Linked DNA regions of Saccharomyces cerevisiae S288C. Changing the gene in region 3 together with the main gene of any one other region gives a genetic interaction. Each region holds a gene or a part of one and is shown on either strand. Other genes may lie near its edges.

The links.
Region 1: mutations in EDC2 (region 3) and MET22 together harm fitness more than expected from each alone (negative genetic interaction), as found in Saccharomyces cerevisiae (2 studies listed by BioGRID).
Region 2: mutations in EDC2 (region 3) and RPS0B together harm fitness more than expected from each alone (negative genetic interaction), as found in Saccharomyces cerevisiae (2 studies listed by BioGRID).
Region 4: mutations in EDC2 (region 3) and BCS1 impair growth when combined (synthetic growth defect), as found in Saccharomyces cerevisiae (2 studies listed by BioGRID, with this or other methods).

Annotation. Positions count from the first base shown.
Region 1 is NC_001147.6:204,665-212,153, reverse strand, and holds MET22 (3'(2'),5'-bisphosphate nucleotidase), read left to right. Parts: upstream 1-4,977; coding exon 4,978-6,051; downstream 6,052-7,489. Other genes in the region: APM4 (Apm4p), read left to right, coding at 159-1,634; CRT10 (Crt10p), read left to right, coding at 1,889-4,762; phosphoinositide 5-phosphatase INP54, read left to right, coding at 6,269-7,423. UniProt on the Saccharomyces cerevisiae protein: Phosphatase that converts adenosine 3'-phosphate 5'-phosphosulfate (PAPS) to adenosine 5'-phosphosulfate (APS) and 3'(2')-phosphoadenosine 5'-phosphate (PAP) to AMP. May regulate the flux of sulfur in the sulfur-activation pathway by converting PAPS to APS.
Region 2 is NC_001144.5:238,326-246,055, reverse strand, and holds RPS0B (40S ribosomal protein uS2 RPS0B), read right to left. Parts: upstream 3,825-7,730; coding exon 3,735-3,824; intron 3,376-3,734; coding exon 2,707-3,375; downstream 1-2,706. Other genes in the region: EMA19 (Ema19p), read left to right, coding at 1-469; MLO50 (Mlo50p), read left to right, coding at 884-2,170; FRE8 (putative ferric-chelate reductase), read left to right, coding at 4,649-6,709; YLR046C (uncharacterized protein), read left to right, coding at 7,243-7,730.
Region 3 is NC_001137.3:219,419-226,537, reverse strand, and holds EDC2 (Edc2p), read right to left. Parts: upstream 3,900-7,119; coding exon 3,462-3,899; downstream 1-3,461. Other genes in the region: PHM8 (bifunctional nucleotidase/lysophosphatidic acid phosphatase), read right to left, coding at 1-649; ATP-binding cassette family ATPase ARB1, read left to right, coding at 1,339-3,171; YER034W (uncharacterized protein), read right to left, coding at 4,135-4,692; ZRG8 (Zrg8p), read left to right, coding at 5,251-7,119. UniProt on the Saccharomyces cerevisiae protein: mRNA-binding protein which stimulates mRNA decapping by DCP1 and DCP2.
Region 4 is NC_001136.10:1,220,353-1,228,508, forward strand, and holds BCS1 (bifunctional AAA family ATPase chaperone/translocase BCS1), read right to left. Parts: upstream 6,185-8,156; coding exon 4,814-6,184; downstream 1-4,813. Other genes in the region: CTS2 (putative chitinase), read left to right, coding at 1-596; VPS74 (Vps74p), read right to left, coding at 760-1,797; FRQ1 (frequenin), read left to right, coding at 2,407-2,979; PHO92 (mRNA-binding phosphate metabolism regulator), read right to left, coding at 3,122-4,042; WIP1 (Wip1p), read left to right, coding at 4,405-4,674; ARH1 (NADPH-adrenodoxin reductase), read left to right, coding at 6,470-7,951.

The DNA.
Region 1 (7,489 bases), on a different chromosome or scaffold from region 3:
TAGCCATTTATTATTTGATAGAAAATTTTTTTCAACTGCGGTCGAAGGGTAACAGCCATATTTTCCTTAATTGATTAGTATAGGAGAACTTGATGATAAAGTGTGGAAACCTTTCATAAACGGTTGGAGAAAAGAATCACATAGAGTTATGGTGAGCAATGATTAGTGGTGTGCTGGTATACTCATCGAGAGGTGAACTTGTCTTGAACAAGTTCTTCAAGAACTCGTTGAAGCGGTCCATATCCGATATCTTCCGAGTACAAGTGATCAATAATCTAGATGTTAGATCGCCTGTTTTGACACTGGGCTCAACTACTTTCCATCACATCAGGTCGAGGCATGGTGACAATTTGTGGTTGGTAACCATTACGAGAAGCAACGCTAATAGTGCGGCGATCTGGGAGTTCTTATATAAGCTTGATGCAGTGATGAATGCTTATCGATTGGATAGAGAGGAGGCCTTGAAAGAGGAATTCATGATTGTGCATGAGATGCTGGATATAATGTTGGGTGGAAATGGGATACCAATTGACACTGAATTGAACTCTGTTATAGCGCAGATGTCTGTGAAACCCGTTAGAAATATGGGCGGATTGTTAGATAGTCCCGATGGAAATGATGTATTATCTTCCTCTTCATCTCCTACTTCTTCAGCAGGAGAACTACATTTTCCCAAATTTTTGACAAAAAGAAGCAGTAGTTTCCTGGGTCAAGGAGACTCCACTTCTGATTTCTATGATAACAATAAGATCACTTGGAGGCCCAAGGGGATAATACACAAGAAGGATGAAGTTTTCTTGTATGTCAATGAGAGGATAAACATTCTGGTATCTAGGGATGGTTCTATCTTGAAATCATACGTTGATGGCACCATAGATATCACCACACACTTGAGTGGGACCCCTATTTGTAGATTTGGATTGAATGATTCTTTGGGAATGCAGTCCGAAGACGAGAAGAAATGGTTAGCACAGCAGCAGCGTCACTCTGGCAGCGATTTTGGAAACAAGAACTTCATTCCCAAAGCTGCTGCCGGTAGTGTTTTGTTGGAAGATTGCAAGTTTCACGAATGTGTCTCACTTGACAAATTTAACAGAAATCATATCATTGAATTCGTCCCACCAGACGGTTCGATGGAGTTGATGAAATATCATGTACGAGATAACATAAACCTGCCGTTCAAGGTTACACCTATTGTTACACATTCTACAAGAGATAACGAGATTGATTACAGGATAACATTGAAGTCTTTATTTCCTGGAAAACTTTCCGCCAAAGATGTGGTACTACATATACCCGTTCCACCAAGCACTGTGGATTGTAAGATAAGTGTCTCTAATGGCCACTGTAAGTTTGTGCCAGAAGAAAATGCAATGATTTGGAGGTTCAACAAGTACAATGGGTTGACGGAAAACACTTTAAGTGCAGTTACTGTGTCCACAAGTGATACTACTCAATTGAATCTTCAACAATGGACAAGACCTCCAATATCCCTGGAATTCGAGGTCATGATGTTCAGTAATTCTGGCTTAGTCGTACGATACTTTACCATTTCTGGAAAAGACAGTAAGCATCGTGCTGTAAAATGGATTAAATATATATCGAAAGCCGGTTCTTACGAGGTGAGGTACTAGCCCGTAATTTTTGTGTACATATATTTTTATCATGCCTGTATTTTTTATAGTAATTTCCTTTAGAATGCACATTTTGTTAATATTGAATATTTTCTATTATGAGAGACATGCAATTTAGTTTTTCATTGAAAAGAAAACAGGGAAAAAACATGGAAAAACCATACAAGACACCAAAAACACCATAGTAATGAAGATCAACAGCGCAATCAAGAGGCACTGGTACTTCTAGGCTTGAAAATTTGGTTTTGAATATAATGCCCCCTCAGATTCCCAATGAAAATGATGATCTCTTTACAAGGTGGCTTAAGTCTCGGGCCATCATACAAAGGGCAGTATCGACAAGAGAGTGCTTTGACTCAGAAGTATTTCTGGCGTCTGGTGGCTGGAATATAACGAATGAGATAATAACGTTAAAGAAATATTATCAACTCAAGTGGCCAAACTCCAGTTGCAATTCGTTTCATCCAAAAACCGTGGAGTTTATTAAAGAACGATTACACAACCTAGAAGAACATGACTCTTCATGGAAAATCCCAAATCCTGCTTACTCATTCAAGAAAGCCTTCTTGGAGGATACTAAATCTGCATTTTCCAACTTAGAACCCGTCTGGGGACCATCAAGGCTTTTGAATCCAGCTGAATTACTATTGCCACAGGACGAAAAACTACTTGTTCAAGAGATACCACTAGAGTTCGCACCTTTTCAATACACAAATAGGTTTGCTTATGGTGGTTTGCAGTTCAAGAACAATTTGTTCGTCACTTATGGGAGTTATTCCTTCCTGGCTGCCGGTCAATGCGTCGAAGTTCATAATTTCGATATACTATTGAACGTTTCGTCATTAGAAATATGTCACGCCTTATTGCCCGTGATAATACCAGATGACGGAGATGTAAGAAACTTCCGCAATTCATCATATGTGAAATTTAAGGATACACAGTTCAACAGCATACCTGAACTATGTTCTATCAACTTTATGAAGATTTGTAACTTCATGCATCAAGATTTTCTACTAGCTTGCGGTGACAACGGAATCGTTTATATCTGGGAAATCAACAAAGTTATTAAGATATTTAATAAATTTACTTCGGATATCTTGGGAGGCAAAGATAACAGCCGGGAAAGATACATAAATGTTGATCCATATATGGTGTTAAGAGTAGAGGAATCTTGTTGGAGTGTTGATGTAATAGATATAAATGGCATCATATATATCGCTGTTGGCCATAACAAGCCTGGAGTTACAGTCTTTGCATTCGATAAAGATGTAAAGAAGGAAAGACGGTACATTCGGCCTCTAGATCTTCCCTCATCTCACAATGTTCCTTGTGTTAACTTTGTTCCTAATTCAAAAGATTCTGTTGGATATATTACATTAAGTTATTGTTCTATATTTGGGAATGTTGTTACCGTTAAATTAAAGGAGCATGATTGTACCATTTTAACGAGTTTCCTTGATACTCAATTTTTTGGCGACGACTTATGGACAATAACTCCACTGACTAAGAAGGATTTTGCGAAAGTTGACAATTTCGAATTGTTGAATCTTAACTACCAAGACGGTTTCAAAGAAAGCATGTTATATTCTATTTGCCGAGATGATTTTTTACTTGGGTATTACTGTGATAACGCCTACCTCTCTGGGAATTTCGGTATTGGTACATTACTCAATCAATTTCAGGTTCCTGTCACAGACCTACGACTGACTTCTTCAGCAGGGATCCCCGATGAAGTTATACCATTAAGATTTACCTCATTTGATAGAAATTACACTACAACGGGCTCGATAAAATACGAGTACAGCAGAGAGGATTTTGCACTTATTTTACATGCCGGTGACTTAGACGATATGAATGATGCAGTGACAAAAAACACCTCATGTGAACAGCATTTACACCAATGGACATTTTGGGAGGATTCTGGTTATAAACATTATCGTGCTACTGAGCGTGGATTTTCGAAATACAAGGATATTATTAATACTTTTCCACAGTTGATAACTCCTAGTGGAAGAAATAAAACATCGCAATATCAAAACACTTCTGGGAGAAAGATCTGTGAGCCGTCTACTTATAAACTTACTGATCTCGAAAATGATATTGAAGATATATCTCGCGAATTTAATAGAAGTATTCGTAATTTGAAAATGGATAAACAAAGACAACTACGAACTTCAAAAGAGTTCAAATCGCTAAGTTCAGTAAATCATATACCAAATATTGAATCGGGAAACTTTTTATGGTACAACACCGATGCCGCTGCCGATTGGAGAACACTTTTTGGCAAGGATTTGAACACGGTCTTGAAGGACCCAGAAATTTGTAGCCTTCAACTGAACTCTACAGAAGAGGACGATGTCAATAGCGACCCTGAAAATGAAGAATCTGGTAGCAGCTTAACAAGTTTCCAGCGAAGATATAGGGATACTGAACAGCGTGCTCACTTGAAATCAGAATCGCAGAAATCTTGGGGGTTCCACAACTATGTAAGAAACGTCAAGCGGTTATTAGAGTCAGCAGTACCGGGCTCAGAAGATTCGCCTCTTGGGTATCAACTATCCGAAATGCACGACGAGTTCTTCTTCCTAACCACAGCCCATAGGCTGGTGTTGATGAAAGCAAATCCACTCATAATTATATCAGCAACTCATCATGAGATTTTTCCCTTAGATGGTGTTGTGACGTGTGCTTCCAAGTCGCTGCTCCAAGCACTAAACAGAATAAATTTTGTGTGTCACATCAAAGAACTAAATTGCATAGCCGTGGCTTCACAATTGGGTCTCATTTCATTACTAAGACTAACAGAGTACAGAGGCATCTATTCGTTTAGACAAGAGTATATTCTTGGATGGGAAGTCCAAGACCCTGTTAACCCTAGTCCAGAGTGCAGATGTAACAGGAACTTGTTTGACGCACCAATGTATGGTGCAGATGGAGAGAGCTCGGACACATACTGCGGCGTGTGCGACGTCTATTTCCCCATGGGTGATATTTGCGGACTAGATTACACTTATGCATCTGACAGTGAAGAGTTAAAACGTAAGGGATATGCTACCTTATACGTAGCATCAAGAGGCTCCTTGAGGGCATTCAAGATCACAACTGAGCATGGAACAACTCAACAATAGCATATTTTGACATTTACATAGCCATCTATATAATAATCCTTCCTTCATTGAAATGCGCGAATGACTCAGACGAGCAATATCACGTGTTGCGATTTTACTTTCAGTTTGCAAAGAAGAAACCATGCCACATATAAAGAACGTTTGCACTTCTCTTTAATTTATTAGTTAGTAAGTAAGAAGTTTAAAGACAACTCAGAAGACATCAGCACTTTACTATGGCATTGGAAAGAGAATTATTGGTTGCAACTCAAGCTGTACGAAAGGCGTCTTTATTGACTAAGAGAATTCAATCTGAAGTGATTTCTCACAAGGACTCCACTACTATTACCAAGAATGATAATTCTCCAGTAACCACAGGTGATTATGCTGCACAAACGATCATCATAAATGCTATCAAGAGCAATTTTCCTGATGATAAGGTAGTTGGTGAAGAATCCTCATCAGGATTGAGCGACGCATTCGTCTCAGGAATTTTAAACGAAATAAAAGCCAATGACGAAGTTTATAACAAGAATTATAAAAAGGATGATTTTCTGTTTACAAACGATCAGTTTCCGCTAAAATCTTTGGAGGACGTCAGGCAAATCATCGATTTCGGCAATTACGAAGGTGGTAGAAAAGGAAGATTTTGGTGTTTGGATCCTATTGACGGAACCAAGGGGTTTTTAAGAGGTGAACAGTTTGCAGTATGTCTGGCCTTAATTGTGGACGGTGTTGTTCAGCTTGGTTGTATTGGATGCCCCAACTTAGTTTTAAGTTCTTATGGGGCCCAAGATTTGAAAGGCCATGAGTCATTTGGTTATATCTTTCGTGCTGTTAGAGGTTTAGGTGCCTTCTATTCTCCATCTTCAGATGCAGAGTCATGGACCAAAATCCACGTTAGACACTTAAAAGACACTAAAGACATGATTACTTTAGAGGGAGTTGAAAAGGGACACTCCTCTCATGATGAACAAACTGCTATCAAAAACAAACTAAATATATCCAAATCTTTGCACTTGGATTCTCAAGCCAAGTACTGTTTGTTAGCATTGGGCTTAGCAGACGTATATTTACGTCTGCCTATCAAACTTTCTTACCAAGAAAAGATCTGGGACCATGCTGCAGGCAACGTTATTGTCCATGAAGCTGGAGGTATCCATACAGATGCCATGGAAGATGTTCCTCTAGACTTCGGTAACGGTAGAACGCTAGCTACGAAGGGAGTTATAGCGTCAAGTGGCCCACGCGAGTTACATGACTTGGTGGTGTCTACATCATGCGATGTCATTCAGTCAAGAAACGCCTAAATAACATATATTTTACTTTATTGATAGACATAAATATATGAGTACATATATATATGTGTGTATGTGTATGTACATACCAGTTAAATGATAACCTTTTTTTATTGTTGTTATAGCGTGAAAAAAGGAAAATACAGTGAAAAGAACAAAACTGAAGAGGTAAGAGTAGGCTAACAAAGAAGAAAAGTGAGACAAGAAAATACAGCAGGATTCTGACCGAATGAACAAAACGAATTGGAAGGTATCTGTAACTACATTCAATTGTGGTAAGGAATTTCCCGTTGAAAATTCGAAAGCAATCGTTAAGCAATTGCTTTTCCCCTACGATGACGGCATCTCCCAATTGGAATTGCAAGATCTATATGTGTTGGGGTTCCAAGAAGTAGTCCCCATATGGCAAGGCTCCTTCCCTGCTGTTAATCGTGATTTAATCGATAGAATTACAACTACTGCGGTTAATTGTCTGAATGAAAAAGTGTCAGCTACACAAGGGGATGAGCAGTATTCATGTTTAGGGGTGAATAGTCTTGGGGCGATTACCATAATAGTATTATACAATAATAATGCGCTAAAGGTAAAAGATGATATTTTGAAACGGAATGGGAAATGCGGTTGGTTTGGTACACACTTGAAAGGTGGAACTTTGATAAGTTTTCAGATGACACGCAATGGCGAGGAGAACTGGGAAAGATTTAGCTATATTTGTGCTCATTTAAATGCAAATGAAGGTGTCAACAATAGAAATCAAAGAATAGATGATTACAAACGAATAATGAGTGAAGTGTGTGATTCTGAGGTTGCAAAAAGCGACCACTTTTTCTTTCTAGGCGATTTGAATTTTAGGGTTACTAGTACTTATGATCCAACTACCAATTATTCGTCCACCACAACGTTAAGGCGTCTATTAGAAAATCATGAAGAACTAAATCTGCTACGTAAAGGAGAGGATGAACCGTTATGCAAAGGTTTTCAGGAGCTGAAGATAACATTTCCACCGACATACAAATTCAAGTTGTTTGAAAAGGAAACATATAATACAAAAAGAATCCCGTCGTGGTGCGATAGGATTCTCTACAAAAGCTATGCAGTGCCAACTTTCGCACAAGAAGGTACTTACCATTCCGTCCCTAGGTCCAATGCTCTATTATTTAGCGATCATCAACCCGTTAATCTTACCGTAAGATTACCAAGGTCTACAGGGACGCCAGTGCCGTTATCCTTACATATCGAAAAGTATCCTTTATCATGGAGCTCTGGCCTGATTGGACAAATTGGTGACGCAGTCATCGGGTACTGCGGTTGGCTAGTTACTAAGAATGTACATTATTGGATATTAGGTTCTTTACTATTATATTTACTATTAAAAATCCTGTAAAGTGATCTGGGCTGTCAGGCTAGAAGTTTTTCATTTATGTCTGAAACAGATAACGTCAGTTGTACC
Region 2 (7,730 bases), on a different chromosome or scaffold from region 3:
TGAGCAACAATTCTACTTGTGGTACTTCATCGTTCACATTCCCATCACCATATTCATCGACTCATCAGTGGTTATTCCCGCTAAATGGCAACTAGGGATTGCGCAAAAGGTTGTTAGTGATCACATCGCAAAGCAACACGATTTCCTGCTATCAGAGAAACCAGAATGGCTATACTGGTTTGTAGTCCTTGAGCTAGTTCTGCAACTACCCCTTTTCGTCTATTTCGTCAATAAATTCTGGAATTCAAGCGAATTACAAGTTAATACAAATAGCAGATTGAAAAAGTGGTTGCGTATCTATGGCTGGAATGCCTCTCTAACTACCTTGATATGTATCGTTGTTATTTTCAAGCGTGGTTACATTCCTTACGATGTGCTAAAAACAAGCTTGTCCATGACCCAGAAGTGTCAGTTAGCCTCGGTGTACCTACCTACATTCCTAATTCCTTTGCGTTTGTGTTTTGTGTAGCCTGTGTCGGCTATATATACAGTATTAGTGACTATATAGTTAATTAGTGACATATGCCACTAGTTTTATCTAATTATTGTGCTGCGTTTTGCAGTATTCTTTTTTATTTGAAACGCGTCACAAAAGTTTCGCGTCCTTAGGGAAATGGCTGGTTTTTGTTTTAAAATAGTATATTATCCTTGATGTAATTTAGCAAGAGTGTATTGTAAGGGAACAGTCTGTTACTGCCATTCCCTCATCGCTAGATCCCCCTTCCCTCGCTTATTCCGTTACTTTCGCTTTACTGAGCCATAACCAAGCGCACGCATACATATATATATATATATATATTGTGCTGCACGTATATATAAATAAATCACGCGTACAAGGATACGTTAGCCAAATTCTTTGGATATAACAAAACAGCTACAACTCATGGTTAATAATATCATGCACGAGTACGTACCACCCAGTCAGCGGCTATTCCATAGCAGGCATAGAATAACAAGAAACGATTTGAAAGAAGAGGCCCTACATTCCGGGACCACAGATTGGACAACAATTCTGGACACAACAATAGATAAAGATACTAATCTCATTAGTTATGCTGTCCCCATAATAGACAACTTTGCCATTCCTCGAGCAAACTCTCAGGGGAGTCCTGTGGCCCCTTCGCCGAATCACAGATCAACGATGTACTCTTCTTCATCTTCTTCTGCGTCTTCTGTGTTTTCTGATGGTTTGTTTACTCCAAACAACAACAGGAACTCATCAGGATCATCTTCATTAGTCATTAGACCACAAAAAAATTTGAGTGTAGATTCTTTGATTCAGGAAAATAAAAGGAAAATCAATAGTGAAAAAGAATCGTTATCATTAATTGCCAATAATAACGATGAAACCTTGTGCACTCATACTGATCCATCCATACAAAACCTCATTAAATCGGAAACAAAGAGGAACATCTTAAATTTAAAGTTTCAAAATAGAAACTTATTTCGAAGAGAACTAAAATTGGAAAAGTTTTGGAGCAATTTGAGAAGTTGTCATACATCTGGCGATGAGACGGACCTGCTGTTGGTGATAAGTAAGCATAACTTATATTGGTTTGGGATACCGAACGATTTTCGTCTTCCAATATACAAGAGATGTTTATATCACTATAGCGAACTAGACGAAGCCGGATTTTTCAGTCAGTATGCGAACAACTCATTGTATCTAGCAATAAGGAAATGTTGTAACAACGAAGAGCAGGAAACTCTATCCCGGTCTATTTTCATCAATTTGACGAAAAACGTTACCTGGTTGAATAGTCGTTTCGATGACAATAAGGACAACAAGAATTCTTACACGGTTACTGAGGGGAAGTTCTATCAGGACTTTCCTAACTTATACTACCATTTAAAGGACAAGTTGAAATTAAATGTGATAATGGATTTCATCAAGCCTGTAATAAGAAATTTTATGACCAACGCATTGAATAAGCACAAATTAGATGGTATTGGTCTAGAACTTTTAGATATTCTAATAGTGACTACCTATTATGGTCCGAATAAAATCAATGCTTTCTTAATGGATACATTTATCTTAAACTTGCTAAAACAGTGCCATTACAAGTTTTTTGTCAGTAATATCTCTGAGCTGGTTATTCAAATTTCTAAAATCGATTGTGACTTAGTCATTCTGCTAGAAGATTTAAGGTCACGGATTGATTTAGATTGAGCAAGGGGTAAGAGAGAAGGCAGGTATTTCTCCTGGAAGAATATATATATATATATATGTATAACGAAAGCAAAATAAATACTCGGGTGAACCCGTCATGGCGAATAGTGCAAATTTAATTAATAATAAAAATGAAATATCAGAACTAAACATTAATTTAACTTATCTTCAATACTATAGATAGTCAGCCTTCCCGCTAAAGAATTTAATTATTGAAACCACTTACCTAATAAAAAAAAAAGCGTAATAATGGCCAAATGACTTGAATATAAAAGGACAAAAGCATAAACTTTTAAAATATTATAATTTTTGAATTTGGTTAAAAATTTTTATACTATGATTGCATTAAAAATACAGATAGATGATGACGCTTCAGAGAGAAGCAAATATATATGAGATAAAGATAAACGATAGATGAATTTAAAAAAAAAATGAAAAAGAAAAATTAGAAAAGGAAGTGATACTTCTGTCTCTTTTTTTATCTCTCTTTCTCAATTCCTTACAATATTCACACACATTGCAAGGTTTTCAAATGATTACCATTCAACGTTGTCTGCATTTTCTTCAGCCCATTCAGTAGCTTCAGCTTGACCTTCAGTGACTTCTTCCTTAACTTCTTCTTCTTCACCTTCTTCAGCGGCAGCAGCTTCTTCAGCAACTTGCTCAACTTCTTCTGGGTTTCTGTAGAAGTACAAATCTGGCATGATGGACCATGGTTGAGTTCTGTCGACCAAAGCACCTCTTAGTCTCAAAACTTCTCTAGCCAACAAGTACCAGATTAAACCGATGGAGTGCTTACCTCTGTTGTTACATGGGATGGCGACATCAACAAATTCAGATGGGGAGTCCAAATCAGTCAAAGCAATGACTGGAATGTTAACGTAAGAAGCTTCCTTAATGGCCTGAGCGTCTAATCTTGGGTCGGTAACAATAACCAATCTTGGTTCCTTGAAAGAACGGGTGATGTAATTAGTGAAAGAACCTGGAGTGAATCTACCGGCGATTGGAGTAGCACCAGTGTGAGCAGCAAATTTCAAGACAGCTCTTTGACCGTAGGTTCTGGAAGAGATGGCAACAACATCTTCTGGGTTTGGAATGGCAGCAATAATTCTAGCAGCCAAAACCAACTTTTCCCAGGTCTTACCAACATTGATAACGTGAACACCATCTGGTCTAGCATTGAAAACGTATGGTTCTTGGTGGACCTAAAAAAAGAGAGGAAAGATAAATTATGTTAGTAAGAGCGTTCATTTGTGCATATATAATGTTTTCTTCCATATCCAATAAAGTACCGAATTATATCCCGTGGAATTTTTTGACGTTTTACTGTTTCATCGGAGTTCATAATCTTTGACACAGTCGAGGATGTATATTCTTATTGAGTTTCTTCTCCTTACCCTCACTAAGAAGTGAAATTCTAACTCTTCTAAACCCGGCGTGTTCAAAATTCCTCTGAAATTACCTTTGGTCCTCTGACCTCCAAATATGATTAAATCGGGGACATATTCTTTTCGAGACCTATTATCATCTATAGAACATAATCGTATGGGATATGTGTACATACTTGAACGTTTCTAGCACCTAAATGGGTGTTAGCGGCCAACAAAAGTTGGGCATCCTCTGGAGTCAAATCAAAAGTAGCTGGTAAAGACATTATCCTATCAGTATCTTATCTTATCTCTTCTTGTGCTATTTCGGTATTCTAAATTACACACTTAATAACTCGCGATTTTTCAATACGAGGATTCAAACTTGATCATATTATTTTTACAGGAACTAGAGAAGGTGATGTTCCCTACCACGAACCTTCTTACTGAGTGTTGCAGTCCTTCCATTCCATCTTTCCAGCTCCTCCCGCGTCCGTCAACCTCCAGCGGGACCCTCGTTCGAAACAGCACAAAGGTTCGGTGACCGTGCCCTGGAACTTCCGCCTAGCGCACTCAATTTCGCCTTGGTAAATTTTTCAAAGTAGGCGGAAAATTAAAGTAGCGCCATTCCCATAAAGAAGTGACAAAGGCCTTTAAGAAATAGGTAAAATTGTCATGAATGCATGGGTTTACATTTTATATGTACGGATGTAAAAAGGGAAATATTAAAAGTGTTGAAAACGTAATGCCCAAGCTCTTTTTTGTTATTGAAAAAGAAAAAGGGTGCAAATAACATGTATGAACTACGCATGGCAGCCATTATGCATGTAAAATAAGTAATAAAATTTAAGTTTAGGGTAAAAACGTTTGGTGGTATCCGTTATGGAAGATTAACACTCTGTACAGCCTCAATTTCTTTTTTATTTCCCTTCAAATTTAGGTGGAAAAAGAAAAAGCTAGTGTTGATCTCTTATTTTTGCCAAGCTTTTAATTATCACGTTGCCACTTTAACAGTTTTATTACATCTACATCTCTTCAGATTAAATCGTTAAATTACAATAGAAGTTCCGCTAAAAAAGTTTACTGTATTTTATTTATTGTTATTTTCAGCATGAATTTAAAGTCCATCGTTAGCTGGTTCAAGGAACATCTTCCCAGTTTTGATGTCGACGTGGACAAGCATTTTAGAACTTTAAGAGTCCGCAAATATTCTCAGATATGTCTTTTAATTTCTTTCATTATAATATGTGTTATTATACCCTTAATGAATTATTTGTTGCTAACTGACAAATTCTTCAAAATATGTCACCATTTAAAGCATCATGTTTTCAACAGAAGATCATGGGTTCACAAAACACATATGTATCACAAACAGTCACTACAACTATGTTTAATATGCTTTGTTTTCACCTCGTTTTTTGTTATACAAGGCGCTAACGGAGATCTGTTAGAAATTACTAAGCGAATGGGGAGAATTTCCGTTGCTTTGATGCCACCTTTACTATTTCTAACGTTGAGGCCATCACCGTTACCTCACACGTTATACTTAGCATTGTTACCTCTCCACAAATGGATTTCCAGAATTGTTGTGCTTGAATCTATTCTACACACGTGGTTCTATCTCTATTACATGTACATTAATGATACGTTATACGTGAAAATGAGAAAACTACCCAACATTTATGGGGTTATTGCCCTCGGCCTTTTCCTACTGATTGCCATCACCTCTGTGAGATATGCCAGACGATGGAGCTACAGAGTTTTTTACTATGTTCACTATGTAAGCACATGGCTTATTTTGGTGTTTCTACATTATCACGCTCGCCCAGGAATTTCATATTATACCACTTTAAATGTGCTCATATTAACGGGACAAATCGTCTATAGGCTCCATATCACCAATGTTACGAGAGTTACGATAGTACCCATTTCTTCATCATTGTCTCTTTTGGAGTTCCCATTAACCGATTTACCCAAAAAGCCCATCCTACCAGGAGGGCATCTAAGGATCAACATTTACCATAGAAATTTTTTAAGGAGGTTTTTCTCCCATTTGATACCCTTCCAACATCCTTTTACTATTGCTAGTATTCCAAGTGATAATTTGGTCAGGTTAATTATTAGAAACGGGCATTTTCCATTGCGTACAAATGAAAAGTATTACATTACAGGGGCTTTTGAACCTGAGTTGAGTTTCATTTCTAAACCTACTGTTCCTTTTAATATTACCACGAAATCTTCCAAGAATCCATTTCGAAACAATTCTTCTGCACTAATAAATTCGCCTTTAAATTTTCTAATTAAAGCGCAAAGAGTGTTTATGTGTGTTGGAGGTTCAGGAATTTCCTTTGGCTTACCACTACTTCGTATTCTAAACTTCAACGGTGTAAACGTTAGGCTCCTTTGGGTTTCTAGAGATTATAAGGATCTGGAAGTATTGAACCACTTCAAAAACAATTTTGAAGGTATGGAGATATATATTAGTGGCACCGAAGGCAACGAACAGGACATAGAAATTGATTATATTGACTATCATGACTGCGCTGCTGATATTAATGATGAAGTCAGGAGTATTTCTTCGAGCGGCCGAGTTTCAGAACTGGGAGATAATTCCATGTTATCAGATGGAAATCCCCAACCTACGGAGCCCAATGAGAACACAGCCCTTCTAAGTAAGAAATCTACCTTGAGAAACCATCACCCACCAAAAACAAGTGATATACCTGACATCAATGCTGATGACGAGATAGATTTTACATATGCTTTTAGCAGATCCAAATCAAGGAAAAATACTGCACAAGGAACTCTAACTACACATTCTTCGTTTAACGGATCGAGCGTTTTCAGACAACCAAAGATCATTGAGCCACCTGCCCAAGATCCTTGTTTAGAGGCGGCGCCTAAAAAGATCAGAATTCCCGCAGGTGTTAAAGTGTTCTTTGGCAGGCCTACACTTGGAGATAAGGATTATGAATGGTGTCTGCAAACCGAATGTGATGCAGAGACGGATTCTATTCAATGTTGCAGGTGGGCGAATCAAGGCAGAGACCATGCTGAATATTTGTCACAAGTATGGGTTCTCGCTGCAGGCCCTAGAGGCTTAATTGAAAGCACCAAAAGATGGGCGACAGATGGTGGTTTACACTTTCACGGAGAAAGTTTTGCATTATAAGAGTTGCAAGTTGGCTATTAGTTTATGAGGCTTGGAAAATTCACGTATTTGATGGTGGCATATCTATAATGTCCCGTTTTGCTCTTTAATCTTACTGTCAAAAAAGGGCCCTATGTACGATCTTTTCTAACTGATTTTTTCCGAGAAAAGTTCCGCAGGCTGATTTAGTTTTTTTCTGGTGGTTGTCAAGCCTCTCTCCACTTGGTGATAGTTGCGAAAAATGACAGCGGATATTAATGGATATTAGCGGGAATAAGCACATTTCCATATTGATTATTTGTATGTCTAGCAACTTATAAGATGAATTATAAAAGGCATATAAGTTCTTCTTGGTACTGAATACATGACACTCTCACTACTGTACTAGAGACTTATTGTCGATAAAAGAACTCAACTGCCTCAATAGGAATTTTTTTACTAAAGCAATCACTGATTATGAAGGTTTTTATGCATACAATCCTCACAAAGGTGCAGCGATTGCATTTGTCGTTCTGTTTGGCATTTTAATCCTTTCTGCCTTGGTGCAGATCATAATGGCAACACACACGAGCAAGAGACGTATTCATCGCTGGGAAAACAATGAGTTGTCAGAGGAAAATTCCACAATAATATACTTTCCTGCCCGCGGTTTGATGTGGACACATTTTCCTTTCGTTTTAGGGATTTGTTTAGAGTTCGTGGGTTATGTGTTGAAAATAGTCTTTATCAATAGCCCCTCGATTTCGACTTTCATTGCTCAATCGGTGCTTCTATTGATAGCACCTTCACTTTACGCCCTTAGTATTTTTATGTTGTTCAGCAAAATGGCACGTCTAATTCTTATGGAGGCATATATGTTAATTCCTGCGAAATTTAGTACAGTTTCTTTCGTAGTGGCAGATATGATTGGGCGTGTCCTACAGGCTGTAGGAGGTGGGTTGTTATCCTCATGGAACAGCAGGAATACTGGGCGTATCCTAATTATTGTGGGTCTTTTCATTCAGATATTTTGTTATACCTTTTTAACGTTCAGTCAACTTTT
Region 3 (7,119 bases):
TTTGCAATTTAGCTGTTTCGAAGAATTTTGGATCTGGCTTGCAAATGAATTCTTCCTCGATGGGTCTGTCGTAGTGGCAATAGGTTATGCCGTCAAATAGATCAGCAATACCTAATATTTTAACACATCTGATGGCATGATTTTTGTACGAGTTTGTAAACAGCCATAGTTTGTCAAATTTGCCGAGCTTCTTTTTCTTTAAATTGATCAGCAGCTCCCTTAACTTCCAATCAGGCTTTAAATAGTCTTGCAAAGGTAAGGAATCATCGATGAATGTATTATATTGTAGGACGTCATCAATTTGTTTATTCTTTATTAAACCTTTCACGGATAATCCATATTCTTGATAATACGATTCGATTAGGCGTTCTGCCTCATCGTCGTCAAACCCCAATTCGTATTTAAAGAAATTTGATAATGATTGTTGCATGAGCAATTGTACCTTCGTAGATTTTCTGTACAAAGTGTTATCGATATCAAAGAAAAATACTTTTCGAGCAGGATCCGGATCCGGTAATTTGGGAGGATCCACCTCGAAATTGATTTGTGAGCCTAGATGTGTCAAGCTTTGCAAATGCTCCTGATTTAGTCGTATCTGCTTTTTGATTTGGTTTCTATAAATTGTTCTGTAATCTTTAGCGATAGTCATGATTACGTGCGTATAAAACTTATGTGTTTTTTATCTACATTAAATCTTTTACCAACTATGCGTTAAACCGAGTTCGTATATACATATATATATATATATATATATAAACATATATTTCTATACATGTACGAATGTATTACATATGCTAAATGTATGTATATACATTATATGCACATCTCCTAATAATGAGCCATTTCAGTATTGCGGCAAATACGGAAAAACCCGCAGAAACGATCGTACAGATCCAAGAACTTGGTTTGTATGTGAAGCACGTTGCTGCCCCCTTTTTTTCTCAACCATCTCCGGCGGCGACCGCCGGCTTTTTTCTTTCTTTTTCTGGAAAAAGAAAAACCCCCTATATCACCTTTGACGTTTACTCACTAAATACGAAATGCATTACCCTAATCTCACTTTAAACGAATGAAAAAAGAAAGGTGAGGGGGGAGACCGATGGAAAAAAAAATAAAAATTTTTTTCTTTTTTTTTTTCTTCGTTCACCTCATCTCAATTAATGGCTTTTCCTTGACGTAGTTCAGGTAACTTGGTAGTGATTCTCTTATAAAAAAAAATATTATCATATTTAACATGTTAGTGCCCGTGTAGTTTTTCTTCTTCTTTCTTAACTTTTTTCTTGCAAAAATTGTTTTCTTCCCCTCAGTGCTACAAACAGTAACTTGACAGAACCAAATATGCCACCAGTATCTGCGTCAAAGGCCAAGAGAGATGCTAAGAAAGCTGAAAGAGAGGCTAAGAAAGCCGCTGCCGGTAAAACCATCAGAAAGCTAGGTAGAAAAAAGGAGGCTGCTGCTGAAGAATCGGAGGTAGATGCAGCCGCTAGAGAAATCAAGATGATGAAGTTGCAACAAGATAAGGATGGTCTTTCAGATCGTGTTGTCACTGGTGTTTTGAGTTCATTGGAGACTTCCCGTGATATCAAGCTATCTTCTGTTTCTTTACTGTTCCACGGTAAAGTTTTGATCCAAGATTCTGGTTTAGAATTAAACTACGGCCGTAGATATGGTCTTCTGGGAGAAAATGGTTGTGGTAAGTCAACATTCTTAAAGGCTCTTGCTACTAGAGAATATCCTATTCCTGAGCATATTGATATTTATTTATTGGACGAACCTGCGGAACCAAGTGAATTGTCGGCCTTGGACTACGTTGTCACTGAAGCTCAACACGAATTGAAAAGAATAGAAGACTTAGTCGAAAAGACTATCTTGGAAGATGGTCCTGAGTCCGAGTTATTAGAGCCTCTATATGAAAGAATGGACTCTTTGGATCCAGACACCTTTGAATCTAGAGCTGCTATCATTTTGATCGGTCTAGGTTTCAACAAGAAGACCATTTTGAAGAAAACCAAAGATATGTCTGGTGGATGGAAAATGCGTGTTGCGTTGGCAAAAGCTCTTTTCGTTAAGCCAACTCTATTATTGTTGGATGATCCTACTGCGCATCTGGATTTGGAAGCTTGTGTTTGGTTAGAAGAATATTTGAAGAGATTTGACAGAACTTTAGTTTTGGTGTCCCACTCTCAAGATTTCTTGAACGGTGTTTGTACCAATATGATTGACATGAGAGCTCAAAAACTAACTGCTTACGGTGGTAACTATGATTCTTATCACAAGACAAGATCCGAATTGGAAACCAATCAAATGAAACAATACAATAAACAACAAGAGGAAATCCAACATATTAAAAAATTCATTGCATCTGCTGGTACTTATGCTAACTTGGTGAAACAAGCTAAATCTAGACAAAAAATTTTGGACAAGATGGAAGCAGATGGTTTAGTCCAACCTGTCGTCCCTGACAAAGTTTTCTCATTTAGATTCCCACAAGTGGAAAGATTGCCACCACCAGTTTTAGCATTCGATGATATTTCATTTCATTATGAGAGCAACCCATCCGAAAACTTGTACGAACATTTGAACTTTGGTGTCGATATGGACTCACGTATTGCCCTTGTCGGACCAAATGGTGTTGGTAAATCCACATTGTTGAAGATTATGACCGGTGAATTGACCCCACAATCTGGCCGTGTTTCTAGACATACCCATGTCAAGTTGGGTGTCTACTCGCAACACTCTCAAGATCAACTGGACTTGACAAAATCTGCTTTAGAATTTGTCCGTGACAAGTACTCTAACATCTCACAAGATTTCCAATTCTGGAGAGGCCAACTAGGTCGCTACGGGCTAACCGGGGAAGGTCAAACCGTTCAAATGGCTACCTTGTCAGAAGGTCAACGTTCTCGTGTCGTCTTTGCTTTATTAGCTTTAGAACAACCAAATGTCCTACTATTAGATGAACCTACCAATGGTTTGGATATCCCAACCATCGACTCCTTGGCCGACGCCATCAACGAATTTAACGGTGGTGTCGTCGTCGTTTCGCATGATTTCAGATTATTAGACAAAATTGCCCAAGATATTTTCGTTGTGGAAAACAAGACCGCTACCAGATGGGACGGATCCATTTTGCAATATAAGAACAAATTGGCCAAGAACGTTGTTTTGTAATTGTGAAGTTGATCTGCGCCGTGCACGTTTTTACTTCCCCTTTTATGTATTTTAATAGCAATAATTTATATAACTAATCAATCAATAAAGAAAGAAAATCACCGATAACAATGTGAAGGCAAGAAGATATAACAATGACTTCTCCGTATGTGTAAGAATATGAGGGTAATTGCGTAAAAATGTATATAAATGCCATCTTTATGAATAATCCGACCTAAATAAAACCCCAAAAAAAAAAATGAGAGCCCGCCCGCTCAAGTAGAAATAAAAAAATTTACAATCACAGCTACTCAAACAAAACTAGGTTTGGGTAGCGCTGCCTCATGTGGGATATCTGTTGTGAACGAAGCACCGGCAAAGGCCGTATGACCAGCTACGTGCGGTTTCGAATCGATCGACGCCGCCGCCCTATCCTGGTACTGTCTCGTTTTCTTCTTCTTGTATTTGCACGATTTTTTTTTAGGGGCCTTATCATGTAGGAAGGCATCTATGTTAACAGTGACCATCGTTGCCTTATCGTCCTCGTGTCCCGTCTTCGAGGTGCGTTCCCTAGGTTCTCGCCGCTGTTTTGTAGACTTACCGAAGTTTGGTTTCTTGCCATTGGGCAAACTCTGCGTCGGTGGAACTAATATTTGAGTTTTAGTGGGGCGCATGTGCTCCTTGGCGGAAGGAGGACTTTCCCTTGTGACAATCTTGACTTTTGCAGAATGTTTTGTCTCGGAACCCATTATGAGAGATATTTAATTTTGACTATTATAAAAACGTTTGTGTTTGAGTTTCTGTTAGTGTATAACTTTGTATGTAGTGACGTTATTGTCCGGTCTATCAGGAAGGTAATAGGGCACGGGAGGCCGTTGTTTTATAAGTACGGGCATAAGCCGCAAGAAAAAGAAACGTTAAGAACAAAGAAGAAAAAAAGGGGCGCTGATAATCTTTTCACGCAGTAACTGTCGTACCGCGCGATTAGAGCAGTCCATCAAGGAAATCCTGATCGGTCTCTAGTTCTTCCGGTAGATCGGTCGAAGGGGCACTGATCTTCTTGCCCGCACGATCATGATCACCTTGTACGTGAATGGGAACGACTAATGATTCGGGCTCAGCCGCTGTTATAGCCGATGTTGTATTCTGCCGTCCGAGCCAACGATTGAGCTCATCCGTATTCATCTGCTTGAGGTCTTTGATTTTCAAAGTATCTTTATTAGCAACATTATTGACGGCTGTGGCGTCGTCGTTCTGCTGGAGCCGATTTTTGAGGACGTCTTTTAGCACCTTGTTCAACTCTGCATTGGCGACTGCAGAATGCGGGTCCTCGAGTACCGGGTCCTCATAGTACCTGTCCTCGTTTGACTTCAGGGCGGGCTGTTCTTGGTCTTGATCTTTCTCCTCTGTGGTAGCTTTCTCTTCTTTTTGGCGGTTCAATAGCCGGTACTTTCTATCACTGGGTGTGGCATGTTTTCTTTTCAATTTCTGTTTATCTTGAAATTTTTTTCGATTATCCTTCTTTAAGCTGAATGCATCCATTGCGTTTTCAATTGTCTTGTTTTTTTTTTTGTTTTGCTCGTTTTAAGTAGAATAACGTTATTAGTTGTAGCATGTGCTCATCTCCATGAGGTTTCTCCTAATCACTTCCTTTCTTCTCCTTCACCCATACACCCGCCAGCTTTCTTCAATCCGGGTATCGGTTAAATGCAGAGTGCCTAAATGGGCTGCAGATTGACCACTTTGGGTTTTAAGCTTTTCTCCTGATCGCTTTATCCGGACATATTCTCTTAAACCGTTCTTCTACCCGTTTGGTAATACTTCATAAACACAATATGATATTGCTGAGAACGCATTTACGACTGCAAATCTACTATTGAAAACAATTTTAAACATCTGGTCCAATCCAAGGTTTAATAACTATCATTACTTGAGGTGCAACCGCTTTCTTGTACCTTAAATCTTAGCTGGTTATTTTCCTTTTTTTTTTTTTAGTTCCTTTAAGCCTATTTATTACCTTGCGTTTTCGCACAAACCAACTGTTTTTGCCCAAAAGGATCTGCATCACAAGACGCACACGCATAACTGGAATATTTCATCATGCGGTCTTTCATAAAAGCCCATAAGAAGTCCACGTCGTTTGATGAAAGCCCCAAGCGACATAGCAACTTCAGTGGCAATACTAATAATAGTTCTCAAAGGTCAAGTGATGACTCCTTAGACTTTCTACCATCTACACCATCACAAATGAATTACGATAGCATTCCACCACCCGCGAAACACTCACCTGGATTTGAGTCTTTCCATCGTTTGGCTAACAAGACTTCAAAGTTGTTCAAGAAAACTTCAAACTCAAACTTAAACTCGCATTTAGCTTCAACTCCAACCACAAGCACAAATCAGACTACTTCAAATTCATTTGTTCTCCAAAATCCACCCACAAAAAATACTGGACCTCCGCCGCCATTACCACCGCCGCTCTTTCCTTCCTCTTCTACCTCTTCCTTTTCACGTCATGACAATGAAAGTGAATATACTGCATATAAAAAAACTTCTCCTGCAAAAGATTTTAATAGAACCACAGACTCTCTGCCTGCTATTAAGGGCACAATTACTCATTCGTGGGGAGATTCCAAGGTCGAATCGCACGTAATAATATTAAACGATCCTGCTTCCCCAGCATCAAACACATCTGAAGCGACTTCTTCTAAACAATTCAAAACCCCTATCATTGGCAATGAAAATCTAACTTCAACTACATCACCATCTAACCTGGAACCTGCCATAAGAATATTGAACAAGAACAAGGGTAAACAGCAGGAAAATATCGACGATGCTGAGGACGGGTCATCTAAGAAGGAACATCATGTTTATAAAGCATTAGCGCTTGCCAAAAATAGAAACAGACAAGCAAGAATTCATTCTCATGATGATATAATAAATTTGGGAAAGGCTTCTCAAATGGATATGAGTCTACTAGCCGCTGCGTTTTCCGGAAATTCAACCACCACCATTAATAATGACCAATCTTCTAATGAACAAACCGATGAGAAAATATTAGACATCGAAAGAGTGACCACTACTTCCACTTTAACCTCTTCCGAAACCACATCACCAATAAACAAGTCACCTTGTTTTTATAGTCAAACACTTTCCCTCTCACCAAAGATACGACACGGCGACTTACAATCATCACCTTCAAAAGTGAACAAAAACGATAGTCAAAACGAGACCTTGAACAAGAAAAAAGTAAGGATTAGTCTTAATAGAAAAGAAGAAGAAAAGGTGTATTCCCTCAACAACAATTCCGATGAATACTCTGTCAATGAAAAAGAAACCCATAAAGCCAACGATTGTAATGACGAATCTTCTGAAAACGGTGATGGCGATAATGATCATGATGATGATTATGATGACGATGATGATGACGATGATGATGATGATGAGTCGGAATTTTCGTTTGAATATGCCGGCATAAACGTAAGGACATCATCTGTAAAGTATTACTCCAAACCGGAACCGGCGGCAAATGTATACATAGACGATCTATATGAGGATGAGAACTTTGATGACGATATGAATTGTATAGAAGATGATGAGAGTGGTAATGAGGGAAACGAAATATGCGGTTTATCGACTCGATTCGAAGAAACATCCTTGAAAAGCAATAAAGTCAAAAAGTTCAATGATCTTTTTAACTTGAGCGATGATGATGAGGAGGAGGATGGTAAAGATAACAGTAACAATGGAGATGAAAATGAGAGTGATAATCTTTATCAAAAACGATTAGAAAACGGGAAAGAAACTTTTAATGGTAACCATGGCGGACACCATGATGATGCATCTCTTGGAGAAACGGTTGACAACAAAGAGCAGTTTCTAATAAACGATAATGTCAAGAAGCCTATTCAAAAATACAATGACCTTTTCGATTTGTCTGATGAGGACGATAACGACGACAAAGAGATG
Region 4 (8,156 bases), on a different chromosome or scaffold from region 3:
AGACGGAATTGAATGGAAACTTTGCCATGCATTATATGATCGATAGATTTGGCGTCAATTCTAGAAAATTAGTACTGGGAATGGCCGCCTACGGAAGAAGTTTCCATATCAAAGATAACAAATTCGAACCATTCAATCAAAATACTGTATTAATTAACAAAATTTTCAAAGGAGTGGGCAAGCCCACTAAAGAAATAGATAAAGCTGATGGCAAGGAGGGCATCTGGCCTTACAAAAATTTACCAAAGATTGGTACAATAGAACAATACGATCCAAAATATGTTTCAGCATATTGCTTTGATGAAAAAAATTCAATATTTATCAGTTATGATAACACTAAATCAGTCAAAACTAAGGCTGAATATGTGACACATAACAATTTAGGCGGAGGCTTTTGGTGGGAGTCATGTGGTGAAGCTTATGCAAATGAGTCAAGGTCGTTGATAAACGCATTTAATGAAGGCTTGCACTTTAATGTGTCATCAAAACCATCAATATTTCAAGATGTGAGAGTTAAAAAATATTACTTGAATAAATATGGCGATGGCGGATTTTTATCTCCATATTTAAAGCATTTGGATTCAAGAAAGCAATGAATACGAATGTGGGCGTATATAATAACAAAAAGTTTGGTCTATTTATTATCCACTCCGTATATGTATATACATATATACAAATTTCGTTTATTAATGTTAGAGGCTTATAAAAAAAAGCTTGACTTTTCCTTATGTTTCAAAGAGAGGATTTTTGTTGTTATTTTCATAATAGCATATCCATTCTTGAAAAGACTTCAAATACACCAGCAATAACTTCCAATTGTAAATCATGACCAGGATTGTTTTCTATCTCTTCTTTAACTTCCTTGTTTAAATTAACGGAGACACCTAACTCAGTTTCCTTTTCTAAATCAAATGGGTATTGCGAAAATTGTGCCATTATTTCTTCAGCTCTACTAATTGCCTTATCTCTCTTCTCATATTCCAACGTAGTCAGGACATTCTCCAATACGTTTGCCCCATATGATCCACATATTAAAGCTAAAGTTCTAATGATTTTGAAAGATGTTGTCTCCGGAAAATATTCATTGTAACTTAATTCCATGTTCCTCGATACGAGTACAGAAAGTACTCTGCGCTTAATGGCTTCTTTGCAGCTGGCGTCTGCAATGGGGTGTGTCGCCATGTCAAACAAAAAGAAATTTTTCATTTCTGTTCTCAATACACCTTTATCGACCAAACCTTTTGCCAATCTTTCCCTTACTTGTTTCAATTGATAGTTGATCTTTAAAAGGTTCCATGTTTCACCACTTAAAAGATCAATCCAGTTAGAAATTGACAAAGGTTCGTCGTTTTTCATCAATTGCAAAGTTTCATCCAGTAAAACTTCCCCAGTTTTGGAACTGTCAATAACTTCAATCAACCTTTCGGAAAGATCGAACCTTTTCCTGGCGGAATCATCTAAGATTCTGATTTTACCTCTTAACGCTAATTCTATAATTATACAACCACGCAAAGCATATGAAATACTATCATTCCAAAACGACAAATATCCTTCTCTATCTCTTAAGCCCATCAATAAGACTTCTTCCATCAACGTTAACGTAGGGATATTGATGTTGTCTCTCAATTTCGATTCTTCTGGGTCATATGCAATCTTTTTGTTTGTTCCATTGTCATCATCCCCGTCAACAGCAATATTTGCGATTTTGTCTCCTTTGGTATTGTTAGCAGAAGAATGAATGGAGGAAGTATCTCCAGAATCCGCCCTATTGACTCTACGACGTTGTAAAGTAGACATGATTTTTGCTTTGTATTTTTTTAGATAGTTTTTGTTTGAATTCTTTTACGTTATCAGATCAAAAGTTGTAATGAAAATATAGCCAACAATGAAACTGCTAATTTAGCTCTATTTGTTAGCGTGGAAATTTGAAATTTATTTTTAATCTATAAATGCAGCAGCCCAAACCGAAACAAAAGAATAAGTGAGTTGAACAGAGTAAGCAACGGGCCGATATAGAACTGAAAAAGTCAACGTACCCAGAAAGCAATTAACTGCGACACAAATAGATGTCAATGTCCAAAAAGGATAGATAAACAAGATTACGATCCAAGGCAGGGATCTAATTGTTTTTAGGTAAATGCGTACCCATTAGCCTCTTTTTTTCAGTAGTAGTTGACTGCTCAGGAAGTAAAAAAATGAGCCAGAATTGATCATTAAAAACGAAAAAAGGGTAACTCTTCGGTGTATTTTTTATTATTATACCATAGAGTACTGAAATAATGTTTAATTTGTCAACGATTGAACTGATGAACTAGGGATATTACCTCCTGTTTTATAATTGTTGCTAGTTTAAGAATCGGCGAGAGTTATTTTGTGCTTGAAAACTGTTTTTGATTCAAAAAAAAAATGGGAGCCAAGACGTCAAAGCTTTCCAAAGATGACCTGACATGTTTGAAACAATCCACCTATTTTGATAGAAGAGAAATCCAGCAATGGCATAAAGGATTTTTGAGGGATTGCCCTAGTGGCCAACTAGCTAGGGAAGATTTTGTTAAGATATACAAACAGTTTTTTCCATTTGGTTCTCCTGAAGATTTTGCTAATCACCTTTTTACAGTTTTTGATAAAGACAACAATGGATTCATACATTTTGAAGAGTTTATCACAGTTTTGAGTACAACGTCCAGAGGAACTTTGGAGGAAAAACTGAGCTGGGCTTTCGAACTTTATGATTTGAACCATGATGGATATATTACATTTGATGAAATGCTAACCATTGTGGCGAGTGTTTATAAAATGATGGGGTCTATGGTTACACTTAATGAGGATGAGGCAACGCCCGAAATGAGGGTAAAGAAGATCTTCAAGTTGATGGATAAGAACGAAGATGGTTACATTACGCTGGACGAATTCAGAGAAGGTTCTAAAGTCGATCCCTCTATTATTGGTGCCTTAAACCTTTACGATGGCTTAATATGAAAACTTTGTTTTTGCTTCTTATGGATTGGATGTTATAACAGTAGAAGTAATTTTAGGATAATTTTAAATAAAAATAATATTAAAAATAATAATAATACTAATAATAAATGAGAATAAAATGTTGATAAATGAGGGATAAGGTCTATTCATACGTCTCATCCAAGAAGGAGAAAATATCAGAATCTTGAGTTTTAAATAGATTAATTATTGAAATTCCAATCGAATATGGAATTTCTTGAGTATCTCTGGAATGTGTTATCGGTTTCATTTCATTGGATGGTATCAAAAACCTTTTTAACGATCTGTTATTTATATCACGCACGATCACCCATCTTACTTTAAAGGCTTTGCCATATTTTTGTTCATCTTCCCATATACTGGTGTCCAAATCCATTTTCAAATCCGATACCATTTCTGCAACGCCACAGAATCTTCCTGATGTGTTGATTGAAAAAAATAAAAACACTTTGGCTCCCGAATTAAGCTTTTTATATGCCTCAGATAGCCTTTTGTTGCCGAAATGAGTAGACGACCAAATTCCGTTGTAAAACGACCTTTTGACATGCTTCAAAGACGAGGACTTTATTACAAAAAATCTTGAGTTTTCTGGAATATTTAACCAAGGGGGAATAATTGCAGCACTTTTTCTTTTATTAATTTCATTGAAAGTTTGTTCTTTAGTTGACTGCTGCAAATACCTTGGTTTGGATAAATATTCCCTGTAATAATTATTATTGCTATTATCAGATTGGTTGTAGTCTCTAGAAAAGGAGAAATGCCGATTTAAATTTGAGCTTGTCAATGGAATACTATTAATCTGGTGTGTATAGTTTTCATGAGTGATCTCTTCTTTATTTTCTTTCTTGTTAATATCATTTAAAGCTGTGACATCGTTCTTTAGCTTTGGGTTTGTTTGTACTTCAATATGAGTTCTCTCCAAGGAATGGATCAACCCATCTAGTTCTCTTAAAGAGTCTTCAATTGTCCTGTCATTTCTCTTATTTTCTTTCCATTCAGAGTTGAAGTAAAAATTTGGGGGACCTGTAGACCAGATTTGATTCATTTTTAGAGCACAACGCAATACTTACGTCACACCAGCCGTAGACGATATCTTCCTTTCTTAACGAAATAGTAACAGAGGACACAATCTGAAAACTTCTTTTGCGATTCATAACCAACAGAAAATTTTGGAGGAAAACAATGTAGCTGTATAAATATATATATATATATATGTATGTATACTTATTTATTTATATATATATCACAAAAGGCTACCAAAAAGATTAGCCGCCGAGGTACATCGTGAGGAGTGATATTCTGGGGAAACGGGTAGCGATTTCGTGTCTATTTTCGGTCACCAAGTCAACGTTACTTACTGTCGTATAACCAAAGTACAACAATAGCAACAGTTCCTAACATTCTTCCATGGATACGGAAGCATTGGCCAATTATTTGCTACGGCAGCTTAGTTTAGATGCGGAGGAGAATAAGCTAGAAGATCTTCTCCAACGGCAAAATGAAGATCAAGAGTCTAGTCAAGAATATAACAAGAAATTATTATTGGCATGTGGATTTCAGGCCATTTTAAGAAAAATTCTGCTGGATGCTAGAACAAGGGCAACTGCAGAAGGTTTGAGGGAAGTATATCCTTATCATATTGAAGCTGCAACGCAGGCTTTTCTGGATAGTCAATGAAGGGGTATTTTTAAGCCTCTTTATCATATACTCTTTTGTTCGTAATAGCAAATAACTCGGTCTTATTAACGAGAAAAAGTTAAAGCATCTTCTGAATTTTTATTATATACAAGTTATGTAGTAAGGCGCCACTTAGCACCTAGAAAATATGATTAGCGTTCCGTAAGCTGGAGACCATTTTCAACGCATCGTGTGGTGCATCTTTATTCATAACGAAAAGTCCTTGCAACTGGGCGGTACTTACGGTGATATCCAATTCTTTAACACTATTTACAAACTTTTTGCATATATCAGTCTCACCTGGGTAAAATTTCATAAACATTTTTTCTACCTGGTATGGAGTTGCGTTACCAACGAAGACTTTGTAGTCAATACGACCTGGTCTCATTATAGCCGCGTCTAGCTTTTCAGGATGATTGGTAGTCATGAATGTAATAGTTTCTTCAGAAGATGTGACGCCATCCAGGGCATTCAGTAAACCGCTAAATGTTACGCTAGAATGAAAACCTTGTTCACCAGTTTGACTTCTTTTGTTGAACGCCGCGTCAATATCTTCCAGTAATAGTATGCTCCTTTCTGGCATGTTATTCATTAAGTGGTTTAATCTGTCATCTGTTAAATTATTTTCGGAGAGGTTTAAAATACAAATGTTGTAGTCTAATTCGCCCGCTAAAGCCTGGATAAAGCTAGTCTTACCAGATCCGGGAGGGCCATAGAGTAAATATCCCCTGCGATATGGGATACCCCTGTCAGAGTACCATTTGCCGTTCTTCATAAAATCATAAACGTCATCGAGAATACCCTCTTTGATGCCACTGTCCAAAATGACGGAGGGCAGCATCCTTTTAGCTTTTGGTTGACCAAACTTTCTCCATTCAGGGCCGAAAGAAGTGTAAATAACAGTCTTGCCCTCAGTAGTCTTCAGGGCTATGTCTTTAGCCTCGTTCAAAATGTCATCGAACAAATGTTTGTCACGGTACAGTGTAGTTAAGGTTACGGTCTCAAATGGTGACCCGTTTGCGATATCTATCATTTTTGCGGACCTTTCTCTTTTAATCAGGATAAAAGCACCCTTATAACGAATCCAATGATTTCCCGGACCCGGAACCAGCGAAAATTTTGTACTAACTGATCCATTGTCATGTTGTATGTAGTTTGTCCTAACGGATAAGTGTCTAGATACCCTTTGAGGATGTTTGGCCATCCATGTTAGAAACCAGGCGTATGATTTGTCCTTCGACTGAATCTCTAAGTCGACAATCATTTGTCGGTATAGGACCCTGCTGGCTTTTATTATACCGGATCTAGCTACAGCTAAACCTGTACCAAGGATCATAAGACCACCGCCGGCGGCAAAATAGGGATTGTTTGACATAGCATCGCCAACTAGTTTTGAAAGTTTTTCCCGGACTGAGTCATTACCAGTTTCATTTGTTGGCGGAGTAATTACACCACTCAGATTTGGAGTAGCCTGTTTATCATATTGTATGTCAATCGGCTTATCCGACATGGTAGATTGAGGGCACACTTCATTTTTTTTCAAATCGTCCCTTGGTACGTCTACTGCGTTGCAAATATAGAAGAGTGGAAATCTTTACTTATACTATTTACATCGATTTTTCGGCACTCTTTAAGGGTAACTCAATCGAGATATAATTCGAAGAGCAGTAAACTATAGCTCGAACGTAACAGAAAGTTTTTTGCTTGCTATAGTTCTTGGCCACAACGCCTCATTCATTCATTTAGAAAGTTTCTCACTCTTTCTTCTTCCTTTTTTAGCTCATTACTTGTGAAAATGAGCTTTGTTCAAATAAGGCACATTTCTTCACAAATAAACCGTAAGACTGTATCCATTGTTGGATCGGGGCCTTCCGGCTTTTATACAGCGTACCATTTACTCAAGAAGTCACCGATTCCATTAAATGTTACTATATGGGAAAAGTTACCTGTTCCTTTTGGTTTAAGTAGATATGGTGTGGCACCTGATCATCCAGAAGTCAAAAATTGTGAAGAAACGTTTACCACATGTGCAGAAGAGTTTTCTTCCCCTACAAACCAAAAGCATAAATTTTCCTTTGTTGGTGGTATAACCATTGGAAAAGAAATATTGTTGAAGGAATTGCTGGATAATCAAGATGCTGTTATTTTAAGTTATGGTTGTACAGGGGACAGAAAGCTGAATATCCCTGGCGAACTCGGAACAAAAGGGGTGTTTAGCAGTAGAGAATTTGTCAATTGGTACAATGGTCATCCTGATTTCGCAAAGGATAAGCGATTTACCGATTTTGACTGGAGCAAAGTTTCGAAAGTTGGTATTATAGGAAACGGTAACGTTGCTCTTGATATTACGCGTGTACTTATTTCTAATCAAATTGATGAAATATGGGAAAATACGGACATCTCATCTCTTGCACTAAATTTGCTAAGAAGGGCACCTGTAAAGGACGTTAAGCTAATTGCACGAAGGGATTTCGTTCATTCCAAATTCACCAACAAAGAATTAAGAGAACTATGGGAGTTAGAAAAGTATGGCATACGTGGCCGTATTGATCCTAAATTTTTCCAGAAAGAAATGTTTGACCCATCTAAGTACGATCGTGCATTCAATAGACGAGTAGAGATGTGTAGTGAGTATCTCAAGCCATTTAATGAACGTTCGAAGAAAAACTATAAAAAGGCTCCTCCTCCAAGCAGCGGATATGACAAATTCTGGGAGTTAGATTATTTGAAGACTCCCTTGAAAATTAATAGAGACGATTTTGGTGCAATCAACTCTTTGAGTTTATGTAACAATCGATTAAATGAAGATAACAGTTTGCAACCCTTGAAGGACGTCAATAATATTATGACATATAAAGTGGATTTGCTGATTACTTCATTGGGATATGCAGGCGTTCCCATGCCTGAATTCTCTAAGTTGTCTATTGGATTTGACAAAGATCATATAGCTAATAAACAGGGTCGTGTTTTAACTTCCAGCGGAGAAATATTCCCACATTTATATGCATCTGGTTGGATCCGTAAGGGCAGCCAGGGCGTTATTGCCTCGACAATGCAAGATGCTTTTGAAGTTGGAGACAGAGTAATACAAGACTTGGTGGTCAGCGGAGCGCTATCCTTAGAGAATTCTATCGACCTCTCTAATATCAAGCACACCACATGGAAGGATTGGGAAAGAATCAACAAGAAGGAATTGCTTCGGGGCAAAAAGGAACACAAAACTCGGTCAAAGTTTTTAACTTTTGAAGAGTTGTGGAACGGTGTAGAAGGCATATAAAATAGATCGTTAATATATTTCTAACATCTTCTTGTAAATGTAAATATTTTAAAAGGGTTGATCTTATTACGGAGAGAACCAATCATATCGAAGGATTTCTCAATAGTAAGTATCCCGCGCGTGGTCCTCGGGGAAATAGAACGAGAAACTTCAAGTACTTGATAGCAAGAAAGTGAGTGCTTGGCTTCCCCATTTTGATTATAAA